Linked DNA regions of Anolis sagrei. The protein of the gene in region 2 interacts with the protein of the main gene of each other region in a pairwise test. Links are inferred from orthologs where the notes say so. Each region holds a gene or a part of one and is shown on either strand. Other genes may lie near its edges.

The links. The genes of interacting proteins can lie anywhere in the genome.
Region 1: the proteins of RUNDC3A (region 2) and CCNL2 interact in binary tests that used the Homo sapiens proteins (3 or more experiments, as listed by UniProt). The two-hybrid records come from large-scale screens. The link is inferred for Anolis sagrei from reciprocal best matches to the Homo sapiens genes RUNDC3A and CCNL2.

The regions. Positions count from the first base shown.
Region 1 is NC_090033.1:5,457,284-5,465,489, reverse strand, and holds the start of CCNL2 (cyclin-L2), read left to right. Parts: upstream 1-4,641; 5' UTR 4,642-4,667; coding exon 4,668-5,024; intron 5,025-8,206. Other genes in the region: MRPL20 (large ribosomal subunit protein bL20m), read left to right, coding at 1-120. UniProt on the Homo sapiens protein: Involved in pre-mRNA splicing. May induce cell death, possibly by acting on the transcription and RNA processing of apoptosis-related factors.
Region 2 is NC_090026.1:44,452,416-44,460,762, reverse strand, and holds the start of RUNDC3A (RUN domain-containing protein 3A), read left to right. Parts: upstream 1-5,127; 5' UTR 5,128-5,213; coding exon 5,214-5,320; intron 5,321-8,347. UniProt on the Homo sapiens protein: May act as an effector of RAP2A in neuronal cells.

The sequences.
Region 1 (8,206 bases), on a different chromosome or scaffold from region 2:
AGGACGTTCAAGTCCTTAGCTGCTTTAGCCAAAAGGAGAGGAGAAGAAGGCCTGCTCGCTGCCCAAGGAGATGGAAAGGAACCCAATGGGATATTCTCACGCCTTTTTAAATATGTTTGAAGATGTCGCTGGGCTTAAATTAAAAATGGGACTGTTTTGGAAAATTTGGTCTGTGGCTTGCTGAAATGGCGAGAAGGTTTTTCTTTTCTGCTAGTGTTTGGAGATTTTGTATGGGATGTTTGGGTCTCCTGAAAAGGGGAACTCCAGACAAGAAACCATCAGGGACAACTAATCGCCTCTCAACAAAGGATTCCCCCAAGCAGTAAGAAGCCACACCTTGAAGCTGCTAGGCCATTAAATGCTAATCAAGGTGGCCAATAATACAATGTTCTGGTTGCGGATGACACGATAAATAATACAATAATACAATGTTCTGGTTGCGGATGACACGATAAATAAATAAGGTGGCCAATGGAAACGTTCACACCTACCTCCAACAGACAAGAGTTCTTTCTCCCACCCCACAGATAGATAAACCCCATTTCCCCTAGTTTCCAACCGACCTCCCAACCTCTGAGCATGCCTGCCATAGATGTGGGAGAAACGTCAGGAGAGAATGCTTCTAGAATTTATTTATTTATTTATTTGCTATATTTATATACCGCCGTTTCTCAGCCTAGCCGGCGACTCAACGCGGTTTACAACATAATATAACAATCAACAGTATACAGTTAAAAGCATAAAAAACATAAAAAACATAAAAGCACATAAAAAACATGGCCAGACAGCCCGGAAAACATAACAACAACCCAGTGATTCTGGCCATGAAAGCCTTCGACAATACACTGTTTGGGTCTTGTTTGGCAGCCATTTTTTATAGTGGAATCACCTTGCCTCTGTCTACAAATCGTATTATATATGTCCTAATGCGGGCAAAGAGCTCTTGAAAATGTGGCAGTGTGGACACTCCGGTTCTGTATTCGTTGCCTTGTCTTCTCTGGAAGGATAGAAGGAAGAAGGCTCTGTGAAATTAAAAGCTGAAGGTCTGCCTGGGATGATAATTGATCTTTGTCTGGCTAGGAAAAGAAGACAGGGGAACTCCAGACAAGAAACCATCAGGGACAGCTAATCAATTGGGCCTCTTTGGGAGACAGTTCCACTGCTTGGAAGTAGATACTAAGGGTGCATCTACATTGAAATTAATGCAGTTTGAAGCCACTTTAACTACTATGTTTTCATGCTCATGGTTCAGGACAAATGGCAAGCTATTTGACGTTTCCTTCTTGGGAGCAGAACAATGACCAACATACAATTATTATATAGTGTAATACAATATACAAATAATAATACAATATAATGTGCAATAGTGCAATTGTATGACTCATATTACATGTAAAATACAATATACAATCATTTTATTATATATTATATTGTATTATTATTAGTATGTTGTATTATATTATATAATTATCAATATGATACCATATTCTAATAATAATACAATATAATTGTATATTTTATATGTAATATGACTAATAATATTGCAGTATATTATAGTATAATATACTGCAATATTATTAGTCATATTACATATAAAATATACAATTATTTTATATTGTATTAGTATATTGTATTACATTATATAATTATCGATATAATACGGTACAATATTCTAACAAGAATACATTACATAATATAGTGCAATATTATTAGTCATATTACATACAATTATTATATATATTATATTGTATTATTATTAGTATATTATTTATGTAATTATAAATATATCATCTAATAATAATGCAATATAATTATACTATAATATACTGCAATATTATTAGTTATGTTATATATAAAATATAATATACAATTTTTACATTGTAGTAGTATATTATATAATTATCAATATAATATGATACAATATTCTAACAAGAAATCATATAATATAGTGCAATATTATTAGTCATATTATATGTAATATATATATTATATTGTATTATTATTAGTATATTGTATTACATTATATAACTATCAATATGATATAATGTTCTAATAATACAATATAATTATACCATAATATATTGCAATATTATTAGTCATATTTTATATTGTATTAGTATACTGTATTATATTATATATTATTAATATAATATGATACAATATTATAATACATTATAATATATAGTGCAATATTATTAGTCATATTACATGTAATATATATCTTACAATTATATATTATATTATTAGTATTTTACATTATATAATTATCAATGTAATGTAAAACAATATGCTAGTAATACAATATAATTATAATATTATAATATACTACAATATAGTGCAATATTGTTAGTCATATTACATGTAATATATAACATACAATAATATATATAATATATTATTATTAGTATATAACATTATATATTTATCAAAATAATATGATACAATATTCTAATAATACATTATAATATATAGTGCAATGTTATTAATCATATTACATGTAATACATACAATTATTTTATATTATATTATTAGTATATTATGTTATATAATTATCAATATAATGTGAAACAATATGGTAATAATACAATATAATTATAATATATTATAATATGGTGCAATATTATTAGTCATATTACATGTAATATATAATATACAATATACAGTATATTATATCCTCCAGGAAAGAAAGCCCGACTGCTCATTGGAGGGAAGGAGAGTAGAGACAAAGTGGAAGTCTTTTGGCCACATCATGAGGAGACAGCAAAGCCTAGAGAAGGGAATGATGCTGGGGAAAGTGGAAGGAAAAAGGAAGAGGGGCCGACCAAGGGCAAGATGGATGGATGGCATCCTTGAAGTGACTGGACTGACCTTGAAGGAGACCCTGGGGGTGGTGACGGCCGACAGGGAGCCCTGGCGTGGACTGGTCCATGAGGTCACGAAGAGTCAGAGACGACTGAACGAGTGAACAACAAACAACATAATAATATATAATATACTGCAATATTATTAGTATTACATGTAATATATGATTATATTATTAAATATACTGTATTATAAATATATTGTATTACATTGTGTTATTAATATACACTAATTTTAATACAATATAATATAGAATATTATGATATACTGCAATATTATTAGTAATATTACAGTACATGTAATATATAACTGCGCCCGTACCTTGGGAAGTCTGACTTGGCCACGGTAGTCCACACTCTGGTTACATCCCGTTTAGACTACTGCAACGCTCTCTACGTGGGGTTGCCTTTGAAGACGGCTCGGAAGCTCCAATTAGTCCAACGTTCGGCAGCCATGATATTAACAGGAGCGGAGCGCAGGGAGCATACTACTCCTTTGCTGCACCAGCTCCACTAGCTGCCGATGTGCTACCGGGCTGAATTCAAAGTGCTGGCGTTGGCCTTTAAAGCCCTAAACGGTTCTGGCCCAACCTACCTATCCGAACGTATCTCGGCCTATCAGCCCACCTGGACCCGAAGATCTTCTGGGGAGGCCCTGCTCTCTATCCCGCCTGCTTCACAGGTGCGGCTGGCGGGGACGAGAGACAGGGCCTTTTCTGTGGTGGCCCCTCGGCTATGGAGCGCCCTTCCCATGGAGGTAAGATCAGCCCCCTCGCTGATGGTGTTCCGAAGAAGATTAAAAACCTGGATGTTCGGATAGGCATTTGGTTAATTCGGTGCAATGAATGTGATGATTAAAGGATTGGTAATATGGACGACGGAACTGGATCACGATTTTAGTCAGGAGATGCTTTGGATTGTTATTGATGTACCAATATTGTGTATTATGTTTTTATGGTTTTAAATTGTATACTGTTGACTATTGTATTTGGTATTTTGTTGTAAACCGCGTTGAGTCGCCAGCTAGGCTGAGAAACAGCGGTATACAAGTACAGTAAATAAATAAATAAATATATTGTACTATATATTATATTATCTACATTTACTAATACAATATAATAGTATATAATATAATATGCTGCAATACTATAAAATACAGCAATTTTATTATTGAATGTTGAATTACATTATATTATTATGAGTTTATACTACTAATTCAATATAATGATATATATTTCTTAAAATACAGCAATTATATTATTAAATGTATTACATTATATTATTATGAGTTTATACTACTAATAATTCAATATAATGATGTATTGCTTAAAATACAGCAACTATATTATTAAATATTGTCTTACATTATATTATTATCAGTTTATACTAATAATTCAATATAATGATATATATTTCTTAAAATACAGCAACTGTATTATTAAATATTGTATTACATTATATTATTATGAGTTTATACTACTAATAGTTCAATATAATGATATATATTTCTTCTTATTATAGTCTGAAGCTGACTGAGTCCTGCTCTGACTAGGCCCAAAGCCTTTGGGAAGAGTTCCTTTGGGGCGCGTTGCATGCTGGGAGAAAGCCTCCCTAACGTCTTTTTTTCCCCTTCATTCGAAACCGAAAAGCAACGCTCCGCCCCCGCCTTTGACGTCACAACGCGGTCGCCCAATAGGAGCGTCCTCTCGGCGGGAGGAGACCAATGGGAGGCGAGGAGGAGGCGAGCCGGGCTGAGGGGGAGACAAAAGCCTCGCGCGAGACAGGAAGAGGCCAGTCGGGGACAAAATGGCCGCCGCGACCACCACGACGACGGGAGGAGCCGCTTCCGCCGCCGCCTCCTCAGCGCCGGGCTTCGGCTCCTCGGCCTCGTCCAACTCCTCGTCGTCGTCCAGCGGCGGACCCGCGGCTTCGGCGGCGTCTCTCCCTCCGCCGGCTCTGCCTCCTCCTCCCGGCGCGGTCCGCATCGGCGACCGGCTCTACTCCGGGGTGCTCATCACGCTGGAGAACTGCCTCCTCTCGGACGACGCGCTTCGCTTCACGCCCTCCATGGGCAGCGGCCTCGACGTCGAGACCGAGGGGCAGCTCCGCATCACCGGCTGCGAGCTCATCCAGGCCGCGGGGATCCTGCTCCGACTCCCTCAGGTACATCCGGGTAGGCCGCACTAGGCCTCAGGCGCCTCGGGGTGGGTTGAAGCCTAGTTTGGAGTAGAATGAGAGAAGGAAAGAAGCCCCAAAGGCTTCGCTAGGCCTCAGGCTCTTCGGGGTGAGTTGAGGCCTAGTTTGGGGTAGAATGAGAGAAGCCCCAAAGGCCTCGCTTGGCCTCAGGAGCCTCGGGGTGGGTTGAGGCCTAGTTCAGGGCGGGAGGAGAGAAGGAAGGAAGCCCCAAAGGTCTCGCTAGGCCTCAGGAGCCTCAGGGTGGGTTGAGGCCTAGCTCGGGGCCGGAGGAGAGAAGGAAAAAAGCCCCAAAGGCTTTGCTAGGCCTCAGGAGCCTCGGGGTCAATTTAGGCCTTGTTCGAGGTTGAATGAGAGAAAGAAGGAAGCCTCAAAGGCTGTGGGGAGAGGCTGGGAAGTGTTGGTTACGCCTCAAGGACCACAGGGTTGATTGAGGCCTAGTTCAGGGCGGGAGGAGAGAAGGAAAGAAGCCCCAAAGGCTTCTCTAGGCCTCAGGCGCCTCCGGGGTGGGTTGAGGCCTAGTTTGGGGTTGAATGAGAGAGGGAAAGAAGCCCGAAAGGCTTCGCTAGGCCTCAGGGTCCTAGGGGTTGATTGAGGCCTAGTTCAGGGTGGAAGAAGAGAAGGAAAGAAGCCTCAAAGGCTTTGCTAGGCCTCAGGAACCTCGAGGTCGATTGAGGCCTTGTTCGGGGTTGAATGGGAGAAAGAAGGAAGCCCCAAATGTTGTGGGGAGAGACTGGGAAGCGTTGGTTGAGTCCTAGTTCAGGACGGGAGGAGAGAAAAAAAGAAGCCCCAAAGGCCGTGGGGAGAGGCTCGAAAGCGTTGTTTAGGCCTCAGGCACCTCGGGGTGGATTAAGGCTTAGTTCGGGGTTGAATGAGAGAAGGAAGGAAGCTCCAAAGGCTGTTGGGAGAGGCTCGGAAGCGTTGGTTAGGCCTCAGGCGCCTCGAGGTGGGTTGAGGCTTAGTTCAGGGCGGGAGGAGAGAAAAAAAGAAGCCCCAAAAGCCGTGGGGAGAGGCTGGGACGTGTTGATCAGGCCTCTGGAAGCTTAGGGTTAGAGTCCTCAGTGTGAGAAGGCCCCAGTGGGAGAAAGGTCTCAGTGTGAGGTACCATAAAATAAGCCATTCTTCAGGAAAAATAAATATAAAACTGTGTTTGGAAGCCTTGGGGAGAGGCTGGGAAACATTGGTCAGGCCTCTGGAAGCTTAGGGCAAGAGTCCTCAGTGTGAGAAGGCCCCAGTGGGAGATACCATGTTACTCTGAAAATAAGCCATTATTGAGGAAAAATATAAAACTGTGTCTTCAAGGTGGATTTAGGCGAAGTTTGGGATGGAAGGAAGCCCCAAAGGTTGTGGGGAGAGGCTGGGACGTGTTGGTCAGGCCTCTGGAAGCTTAGGATTAGAGTCCTCAGTGTGAGAAGGTCCCAGTGGGAGAAAGGTCTCAGTGTGAGATACCATGTTTCTCTGAAAATAAGCCATTTTTGAGGAAAGATAAATATAAAACTATCATCAGGGTGTATTTAGGCCAAGTTCAGGGCGGAAGGAGAGAAGGAAGGAAGCCCCAAAGGCTGTGGGGAGAGGCTGGGAAGCGTTGGTCAGGCCTCTGGAAGCTTAGGCCTCGCTAGGCCTTGGGTGTATGTAAGCCAAGTTTGGGGTGGAAGGAGAGAAGGAAGGAAGCCCCAGAGGCCGTGGGGAGAGGCTCGGAAGTGTTGGTCAGGCCTCTGGACTCATAGGGTTAGGGTTAGAGCCCTCAGTGTCAGAAGGCCCCAGTGGGAGAAAGGCATGTGTGAGGTACCATGTTTCCCTGAAAAAAAGCCATTCTTGAGGAAAAATAAATATAAAACTCTGTCTTCTGGGTAGATTTAGGCCAAGTTTGGGGTGGAAGGAGAGAAGGAAGGAAGCCCCAAAGGCCGTGGGGAGAGGCTGGGAAGCGTTGGTCAGGCCTCTATAAACTTAGGGTTAAATCCCTCAGTGTGAGAATGCCTCAGTGGGAGAAAGGCACCAGTGTGAGGTACCATGTTTCCCTGAAAATAAGCCATTCTTGAGGAAAAATAAATATAAAACTCTGTCTTTGGGGTGGATTGAGGCCAAGTTCGGGGTAGAAGGAGAGAAGGAAGGAAGCCCCAAAGGCCCTGAGGCCTAGCAAAGCCTTACAATATAGTAATATATACAAATATTGTCCAATGCCAAGGCTTGGAAGTGTTGGCCAGTCTTCTGTGTTGTCGAAAGCTTTAACGTCAGGAATCACTGGGTTGCTGTGAGTTTTCCAGGCTGTCTGGCCGTGTTCCAAAAGCATCCTCTCCTGACGTTTCACTCAAAGCCACCCAATAATAAATTTTATTTACATACTGTCCTATCTCCCCAAAAGGACTCAGGGCAGGGAACAATAAGGCCATTAAATTCTAATCAAGGTGGCAGATGGAACATTCACACATGCCTCTAGCAGACAAGAATTCTTTCTCCCATTCTGGACATCATTCCATAGATATATTAACCTCACTTGACTAGTTTCCAACAGACCTCACAACATCTTGATGATGCTTGCCATAGGTGTGGGTGAGACATCAGGAGAGAATGCTTCTGGAGCCTGGCCATATAGCCCAGAAAACTCACAAGTAATACATTTTATTTATATGCTGCCCTATCTCCCTGAAGGGAGTCAGGGTAGGGAACAATAAAATGATATGTTTTGAAAGGCTTTCATGGCCGGAATCTCTAGGTTGCTGTGAGTTTTCCGAGCTGTCTGGCCTTGTACCAGAACCATTCTCTCCTGACGTTTCAACCACATCTATGGCAGGCATCCCCAGAAATTGTGAGGTCCTTTGGGGAGTTCTGCAATCATTGAAAGGTTGTAGCGTTCCCTCGATCCCAGGAAATATTTGGGGCTAGAGTGAGTAGAGGCTTTGAAGCCAAAATATAAGATTTTATAGCCTGTATGGTGGTTCAGACTATCAGGATTGTGGCTGAGACTGAGTTTCTCCCCCTCCCCTGTAAAAACAATGACTTGGTTCAGATTAAAAGAAAAATATTTATGCCTATGTGTGTGGGATAAAGTTAAACTATATATTTTACACAATGTATTTACTAGACTATATGGACTCTGGTTTATAGCAAATACAGAAGTTGATAAGCTACTATACCTGCCACCTGATTGAAAT
Region 2 (8,347 bases):
CTTCGTTGCTGGCGTTCCGGAGGAAGGTCAAGACGTGGCTCTATGAACAAGCGTTCGGCTAACAATGCAACTGAACTCAGGAAGACGGTATAAATGAACAAGGAAATGGTAGAAGGATTATGAGAACGGAATTTGATTTTCACTGAGGCGTTGATGACTATGTTGTGTTGTTTGTATTGTCTGTTATGTATGTTGTGTTTTAACTAATTGTGATTGTTATATAAATTGTACTGTAAACCGCATTGAGTCGCCGAATTAGGCTGAAAAATGCGGTATAAAAATAAAGCAAATAAATAAATAATAATAATAATGTTTCTTCCAGCAATTTTAACCCCAGCCTTGGATTCATCAAGCCCTGCCCATTGCATGATGTGTTCTGCATACAAGTTGAATAGGTTGGGTGAGAATATACAACCCTGCCATACGCCTATCGCAGTCTGTTTTTCCATGGTCAGTTCTTACTATTGCTACTTGGTCATTATACAGATTCCTCAGGAGACAGACAAGGTGGCTTTGTATCCTCATACCACCAAGAACTTGATCCACATTTTAGGAGATATTTATTGAAAAACTATTGCAAAATGTGCTGCAGATTTTTTTGCAGTTTAATAAACTTCCCCCATGTTTTTATGATAGAAACAATTAGGAAATGACATTTATAACCCAGGAAAAATGTGTTACATAATGTTATCCACTTTTGTCTATAATCTTTCCTCTCTGAAACACTGTTTTAGCATACGGTGCATCCATGTTTTTACCATGTTTTTATGATAGAAGCAATTAAGAAATGACATTTATAATTCAGGAACAAAAAGTGTGTTACATCATGGCAGAAGGAAATGGGATACTGTGTCATTATCTGGCCGGAGGCCACTAGGGGGTGCTAGAGAGAAAAGGATAGTCCATTTTATGGACATGGAGGGTGGGTTGAAGAAGGAAAACTACTTCCTCCTATTTTCCTGTTATTCCTTCAACCTATGTCCCTGTTGTGGAAAGGTTTATGAAATGGAAAGCAGGGAGGGGGAATCACCACTGAAAACAAGGGGAAATGGTTTTCCTCCTTCAACTCCTTCCCCCTGTAAAATGGACTATCTTTCTCTCTTTAGTGCCCCCTAGTGGCCTCCATCGGAATAATAAAACAGAACCTTAGATAGAACCAATTAGGAAATTGTATTTATAATCAGGAATAGAAATCATGTTACATAGGGCCCTTTCACACAGCCATAAGTAAAGGTAAAGGTTTCTCCTGACATTAAGTCCAGTCATGTCCAATTCTGGGGGTTGGTGCTCATCTCCATTTCTAAGCCGAAGAGCTAGTGTTGTCTGTAGACAACTCCAAGGTCATGTGGCTGGTATGACTGTATGGAATGCTGTTACCTTTCCACAGGAGTGGTACCTATTGATCTACTCACATTTGCATGTTTTTGAACTGCTAGGTTGGCAGAAGCTGGGCCTAACAGTGGGAGCTCACTCCACTTCCCGGATTCGAATTGCCAACCTTTCAAACTATGGACTTTTCAGTCAGCAAGTTCAGCAGCTCTGTGGTTTAACCTGGTGTGCCACCCGGGGCTCCCCATACAGCCATATAACCCAGAATATCAAGGTAGAAAATCCCACAATATCTGCTTTGAACAGGATTATCTGAGTCCACACTGCCACACTGCGGAGATTAAGATCCTCCGGGGAGGCCCTGCTTTCCTTTTCATTATTGTCACAGGCGCAATTGGTAGGGTTGAGAGACAGGGCCTTCTCGGTGATGGCCCCCTGGCTATGAAGCTCCCTTCCTGGTGAGATCAGGTCGGCCCCCTCCCTCCTGTCCTTCAGAAGGATGGTAAAAACTTGGCTGTGGGACCAAGGTTCAGGACAGGGCAATAAAGCAGCAGTAGGAAAGATTACCAGGCCAATTAGATTTGACACTAATGACCAGGATGGTTTTAAATTGTGTATTTTAATATTGAAATAAAAGTTTTTCATATTTATGTATCCGTATATGAATCCATGTCACAGCATTGAACGTTGGCCATATATGTGGTACAGCTGGCTGGGAGTCAGTTGTATTAAGATCAATACTGACAGAAAGGTCATGAGTTCGAAGCCAGCCCGGGTCGGAGTGAGCTCCCGACCAAAATTGTGTAGCTTGTTGTCGACCTTTGCAGCCCGAAAGACAGTTGCATCTGTCAAGTAGGAAATTTAGGTACCATTTATGTGGGGAGGCTAATTTAACTGATTTACGAAGCCATAAAAATCTCCAGGAAGTATGCAGAGAACGAGGAAGTACTTCATCAGTGTCACAAATGGACGGTGAAGTGACAGCTCACCTGGTGGCCAGTAGCTGGAATGTTAAGTAGCCTCTGAGTGTCTGTCTATATATGTTGTGTGTCTATGGCTCTTAATGAGACATGCCGCATTATCACGGGGTATCTGCGCCCTACACCACTGGAGAAATTACACTACTTAGTTGGTATTGCACCACCTGACATCTGCCGGGAAGTAGCAGCTAATAGTGAAAGGACCAAGGCAGAGACATCTCCAGCTCATCCCTTGTTTGGGTATCAGCCAGCATGTCAACGACTTAAATCTAGAAATAGTTTTCTAGGATCTACAGAGACACTCGCTGGAACACCTCAGCAAGCGAGAGTCCAAAAGTCCAAAACCCAGAACCTCAATCAATGGCTGATACCAAATGAGAGACTCCCCCCTGGGCACACAGAAAACTGGGCGACTTGGAAGGTGCTGAACAGACTGCGCTCTGGCACCACAAGATGCAGAGTCAATCTTAAGAAATGGGGATACAAAGTGGAATCCTCGACATGTGAGTGTGGAGAAGAGCAAACCACTGACCATCTGCTGCAATGCAACCTGAACCCCGCCACATGCACCATGGAGGACCTTCTTGCAGCAACACCAGAGGCACTCCAAGTGGCCAGATAATGGTCAAAGGACATTTAATCAACTCCCAAGCTTGCAAACTTTGTGGTTTTTTAAATTTGTTTGGTTGTTTTGTTCTGTTAGAAATGTAATACAATGGTCTGGTTGCCCCTAACACGATAAATAAATGGCACTGAATGTTTGCCATGTATATGCACATTGTAATCCGCCCTGAGCCCTCTGCGGGGTGAGAAGGGTGGAATATAAATACTGTAAATAAATATATAAATATGCTGTGCTCTTCCCTGAGTCCCCTTTGGGGTGAGCAGGGAGGAATATCAACGTTTTAAATAAATAAAATATATTCCAGTTCAGAGAGGATAATGTGGGATTTTATTCAGCTGTGTGGAAGGGTAGAAGAAAATGCTTTTTTTTACATCAAATGGCAAAATCAAGGTGTGGTTTTTTTGGGGGGGGGGGGTTTGGGTGGTGGAGGATAATATTTTCAATCTCTGGGTGGTTGGATCCGTGGATACAGAATCCGTGGATTCGAAGGTCCAACTGTATGAATGCCTGAAAAGAATGGGCAGGGAGGGATAACAGGGATGGCTCTTTTTCAAGGCATTGTTGTTGTTCATTCGTTTAGTCGTCTCCGACTCTTCGTGACCTCATGGACCAGCCCATGCCAGAGCTCCCTGTTGGCCGTCACCACCCACAGCTCCTTCAAGGTCAGCAGTCACTTCAATGATGCCATCCATCCATCTTGCCCTTGGTTGGCCCCTCTTCCTTTTGCCTTCCACTTTCCCCAGCATAATTGTCTTCTCTAGGCTTTGCTGTCTCCTCACGATGTGGCCAAAGTACTTCAGCTTTGTCTCTAGTATCCTTCCCTCCAGTGAGCAGTTGGGTGTTATTTCCTGGAGGATGGACTGGTTGGATCTTCTCGCAGACGAAGGCACTCTCAGAACTTTCCTCCAACACCACAGCTCAAAAGCATCGATCTTCCTTCGCTCAGCCTTCCCTAAGGTCCAGCTCTCACATCCGTAGGTTACTACAGGGAATACCATGGCTTTGACTATGCGGATGTTTGTTGCCAGTGTGATGTCTCTACTCTTTACTATTTTATCGAGATTGGACATTGCTCTCCTCCCAAGAAGTAAGCGTCTTCTGATTTCCTGGCCACAGTCTGCATCTGCAGTAATCTTTGCGCCCAGAAATACAAAGTCTGTCACGGCCTCCACGTTTTCTCCCTCTATTTCCCAGTTGTCAATCCTTCTTGTTGCCATAATCTTGGTTTTTTTATGTTTAGCTGCAACCCAGCTTTTGTGCTTTCTTCTTTCACCTTGATTAGAAGGCTCCTCAGCTCCTCCTCACTTTCGACCATCAGAGTGGCGTCATCTGCATATCTGAGGTTGTTAATGTTTCTTCCAGCCATTTTCACCCCAGCTTTGCATTCATCCAGCCCCGCACATCGCACGATGTGTTCTGCATACAAGTTTAAAAGGTTGGGTGAGAGGATGCAGCCTTGCCGTACGCCTTTCCCAATCTTGAACCAGTCTGTTGTTCTATGGTCAGTTCTGACTGTTGCGACTTGGTCCTTGTACAGATTCCTCAGAAGAGAGACAAGGTGGCTTGGTACGCCCATCCCACCAAGAACTTGCCACAATTTATTATGATCCACACAGTCAAAGTTTCAAGGCATTGGACATCCTTTATTGAAAGCTGCCTTCTGATGGATTGGATTATAACTCCCATACATCCCCCCACAATCAAGAATCATGGGAGTTGTAGTCTGATCCCTTTCCTCTCCCTCGATCCCTTCCTGTCTCCCCCTCCCTCCCTTTCCCAACTCCTTCCCATCACCAGCCATGACGTCACCGGCCTCCAAAGGGAGGGGGCTGCTTCCTCTTCGAGGAAGGAGGAGGGCCGGCTTTTCAATCAGCACCAAGGAGAGCTCCTCCCGGCCTGCCCTCCTCCCTCTCTCCCCCCGCCCTCCCTCCCTTTCCTGGTCCTCCTCCGACCCCGATCTCCTCTTTGGCGGCTTTCCCAGCACCCCCTTCCCTCCCCACCGCCTCCCTTGATCCCTCCAAGAAAGGGGGCTGGAGCTAATTTTAGGACGAGAGAGAGGAGGCCGATACTTCCGAGCCATCCGATCTTGGGGGAGGCTCACCCAACGCCTCGTCTTCTGGGGGAGGGCGGGAAGGAGGGGCCGGGGGAGGGGAGGGGGTGGTGGGGAGGAGGAGGAGGAGGAGGGAAGAGGGGGAGGGGGAGGGGAGGGGGAGGAGGAGGAAGAGGAAGGCAAGCGGGTGGTAGCGGCGCCCGGCCGATCCAGAAGATCCCTCCCCTGGATGGAACCCAGCTGCCTCCAGTCCACCATGGCGCTGGGGCTCTCCTCCAAGAAGGTCTCCTCCCGGAACATTGCGGTGGAGAGGAAGAACCTCATCACCGTCTGCAGGTAAGGGGTCAGCTGGGAGTCTTTGTATATATATCTATATCCTATCTATCTATCTATCTATCTATCTGAGAGGAGCTGTATCTCAGAGGGTCCACCTTAACCATTTCAAGCCATGGTTGACCATTCACACCCAGAACATCTCAGCCAGATCCATGCACATACATAACTACATACATACATATATATAGTTATGTGTAGTTATGTATGCATGGATCTGGCTGAGATGTTCTGCATATGAATGGTCAACCATGGCTTGGAATGGTGAAGGTGGACCCTCTGAGATACAGCTCCTCTCTTAAGATTAGAGGAACAAATCTGGAAGGACATCAGTATAGTATGGAAGGCTAAATATATATCTATATTATATGTATGTATTTATATATTTATGTATGTTTAGATAAAAGATCTGGCTGAACTGGGTGTCCCCGGTTCAAGGAAATGGTTAACCACGGTGAAGGTGGACCCTCTGAGATACAACTCCTCTCTTAAGATTAGAGGAACAATTGTGGAAGGACATCGGCATAGTATGGAAGGCTAGATATATATACATACATGTATGTGTGTATGTATGTATGGATCATAGATGTGGCTGTTCCCAGTTCAAGGAAATGGTTAACCACGGTGAAGGTGGACCCTCTGAGATACAACTCCTTTCTTAAGTTCAGAGAAACTATCCAGAAGGACATCAGCATAGTATGGAAGGCCATGTGTGTGTGTGTGTGTTTGTATGTTTGGATCTGGTCATGGATCTGGCTGAACTGGGCATCCCCAGTTCAAGAAAATGGTCAACAATGGCATGGCATGGTGAAGGTGAACCCTCTGAGATACAGCTCCTCTCTTAAGATTAGAGGAACAATTATGGAAGAACACTGGCATAGTATGGCAGGCCATATATATATATATATGTGTGGATCTGGTCGTGGATCTGTCTGAACTGGGTGCCCCCGGTTTAAGGAAATGGTCAACCATGCCTTGGCGTGGCAAAGGTGGACCTTCTGAGATACAGTTCCTCTCTTAAGATTAGAGAAACAATCCGGAAGGACATTGGCATAGTATGGAAGGCTAGATATATATCTATATATCTATATTATATGTATGTATTTATTTATGTATGTTTGGATAATAGAACTGGTGTCCCCAGTTCAAGGAAATGGTCAACCACAGTGAAGGTGAACCTTCAGAGATACAGCTCCTCTCTTAAGCTTAGAGAAACAATCCAGAAGGACATTGGTATAGTATGGAAGGCCACGTATATGTGTGTGTGTGTGTGTGTGTTGATCTAATGATGGATCTGTCTGAATGGTGTGCCTCCGGTTTAAGGAAATGGTCAACCATGGCTTGGCATGGCGAAGGTGGACCTTCTGAGATACAGTTCCTCTCTTAAGATTAGAGGAATAATTCTGGAATGACATCAGCATAGTATGGAAGGCCATGTGGTGTCTGTGTGTGTGTGTGTGTGTGTGTATTTATGTATGTTTGGATCTAGTCATGGATCTGGCTGAATGGATGGCCCCAGTTCAAGGAAATGGCCAACCATGGCTTGGAATGGCAAAGGTGGACCTTCTGAGATACAGCTCCTCTCTTAAGATTAGAGGAACAATTCTGGAAGGACATTGGCATAGCATGGAAGGCTATATATATGTGTGTATTAATGTATGTGTGGATCTGGTTGTGGATCTGGCTGAACTGGGTGTCCTCAGTACAAGGAAATGGTCAACCATGGCTTGGAATGGCAAAGGTGACCCTCTGAGATACGGCTCCTCTCGTAAGATTAGAGAAACAATCCGGAAGGACGTTAGTATAATATGGAAGGCTATAGATGTATTTATGTATGTTTGGATCTCATGGATCAGGCTGGATGGGTGTCCCCACTTCAAGGAAATGGTCAACCTTGGCGTGAAATGGCAAAGGTGGAACCTCTGAGATAGAGCTCCTCTCGTAAGATTAGAGAAACAATCTGGAAGGACATCAGCATAATATGGAAGGCTATTTATGTATGTTTGGATCTCATGGATCTGGCTGAATGGGTGTTCTCAGTTTAAGGAAATGGTCAACCATGGCCTGGCATGGTAAAGGTGGACTCTGAGATACAGCTCCTGTCTTAAGATACCTGTCAGGTTAGAGAAAACAATCTGGAAGGGCATTGACATAGTATGCCATTTGGAAAAAAAATAGAAGGGAGCATCAAGGTGAGATAAGGGAGCAAGCTCAAAGCTGAAAGGTGGAAGAGTGGGTAGACTCAGGCCAAAGGTAACTGGAGTCAACATGAGATGCTCTGTTGTGATCCATGTTTCAGAGAAGGCTTGGTGTAATCCACATGTGTGATACGCAAGGCCCATGGGCCGAATCCACCCTCTGTATCCTTTTCTGTGCCCCTCCTCCAGAGGCTGGATTCTAACTCCTGTATTCCTCATCATGATGGGAGCTGTAATACAATAGCATCCGGAAAGCTTCCATTTGTACTGTGTAGTCAGAATAATGGACTAGATTATACAAAACTTGTGGATATGGTGCCTGACTTTAAAATGCCCTTTAGCCTTTTCTCAGCCTCAGAGCCACATGTGCTGTTGGGTTGCGAGTCCCATTATACCCAGTCCTCATGGCATATAATCAAAAGTGATGAGAGTTGTTGTTCAGTAACACCTGAGAACCCAAACTGGGTAAAAATTAGAGTACTGACCACTATGTTATATATATAAAATTAGAGTACTGACCACAATGTTATGTGTGTGTGTGTGTGTGTATGGATTCAATGGCTCTTTGAAGGCAACCATAAGGCGGATGTGGTCCTCCATGAAAATGAGTTTGACACCCCTGGTGTAGACTATTTATTTATTGGAGCCTTCATGAGAAGTAGCTGGGAATCTCACAACCCTAAGAAATTCTCTCCCTTTGACCTCAAGGTTTTGGGGAAAGAAAGACTGGTGTATTGTCGAAAGCTTTCAAGGCTGGAATCACTGGGTTGTTGTAGGTTTTTCAGGCTATATGGCCATGTTCTAGAAGCATTCTCTCCTGACATTTCGCCTG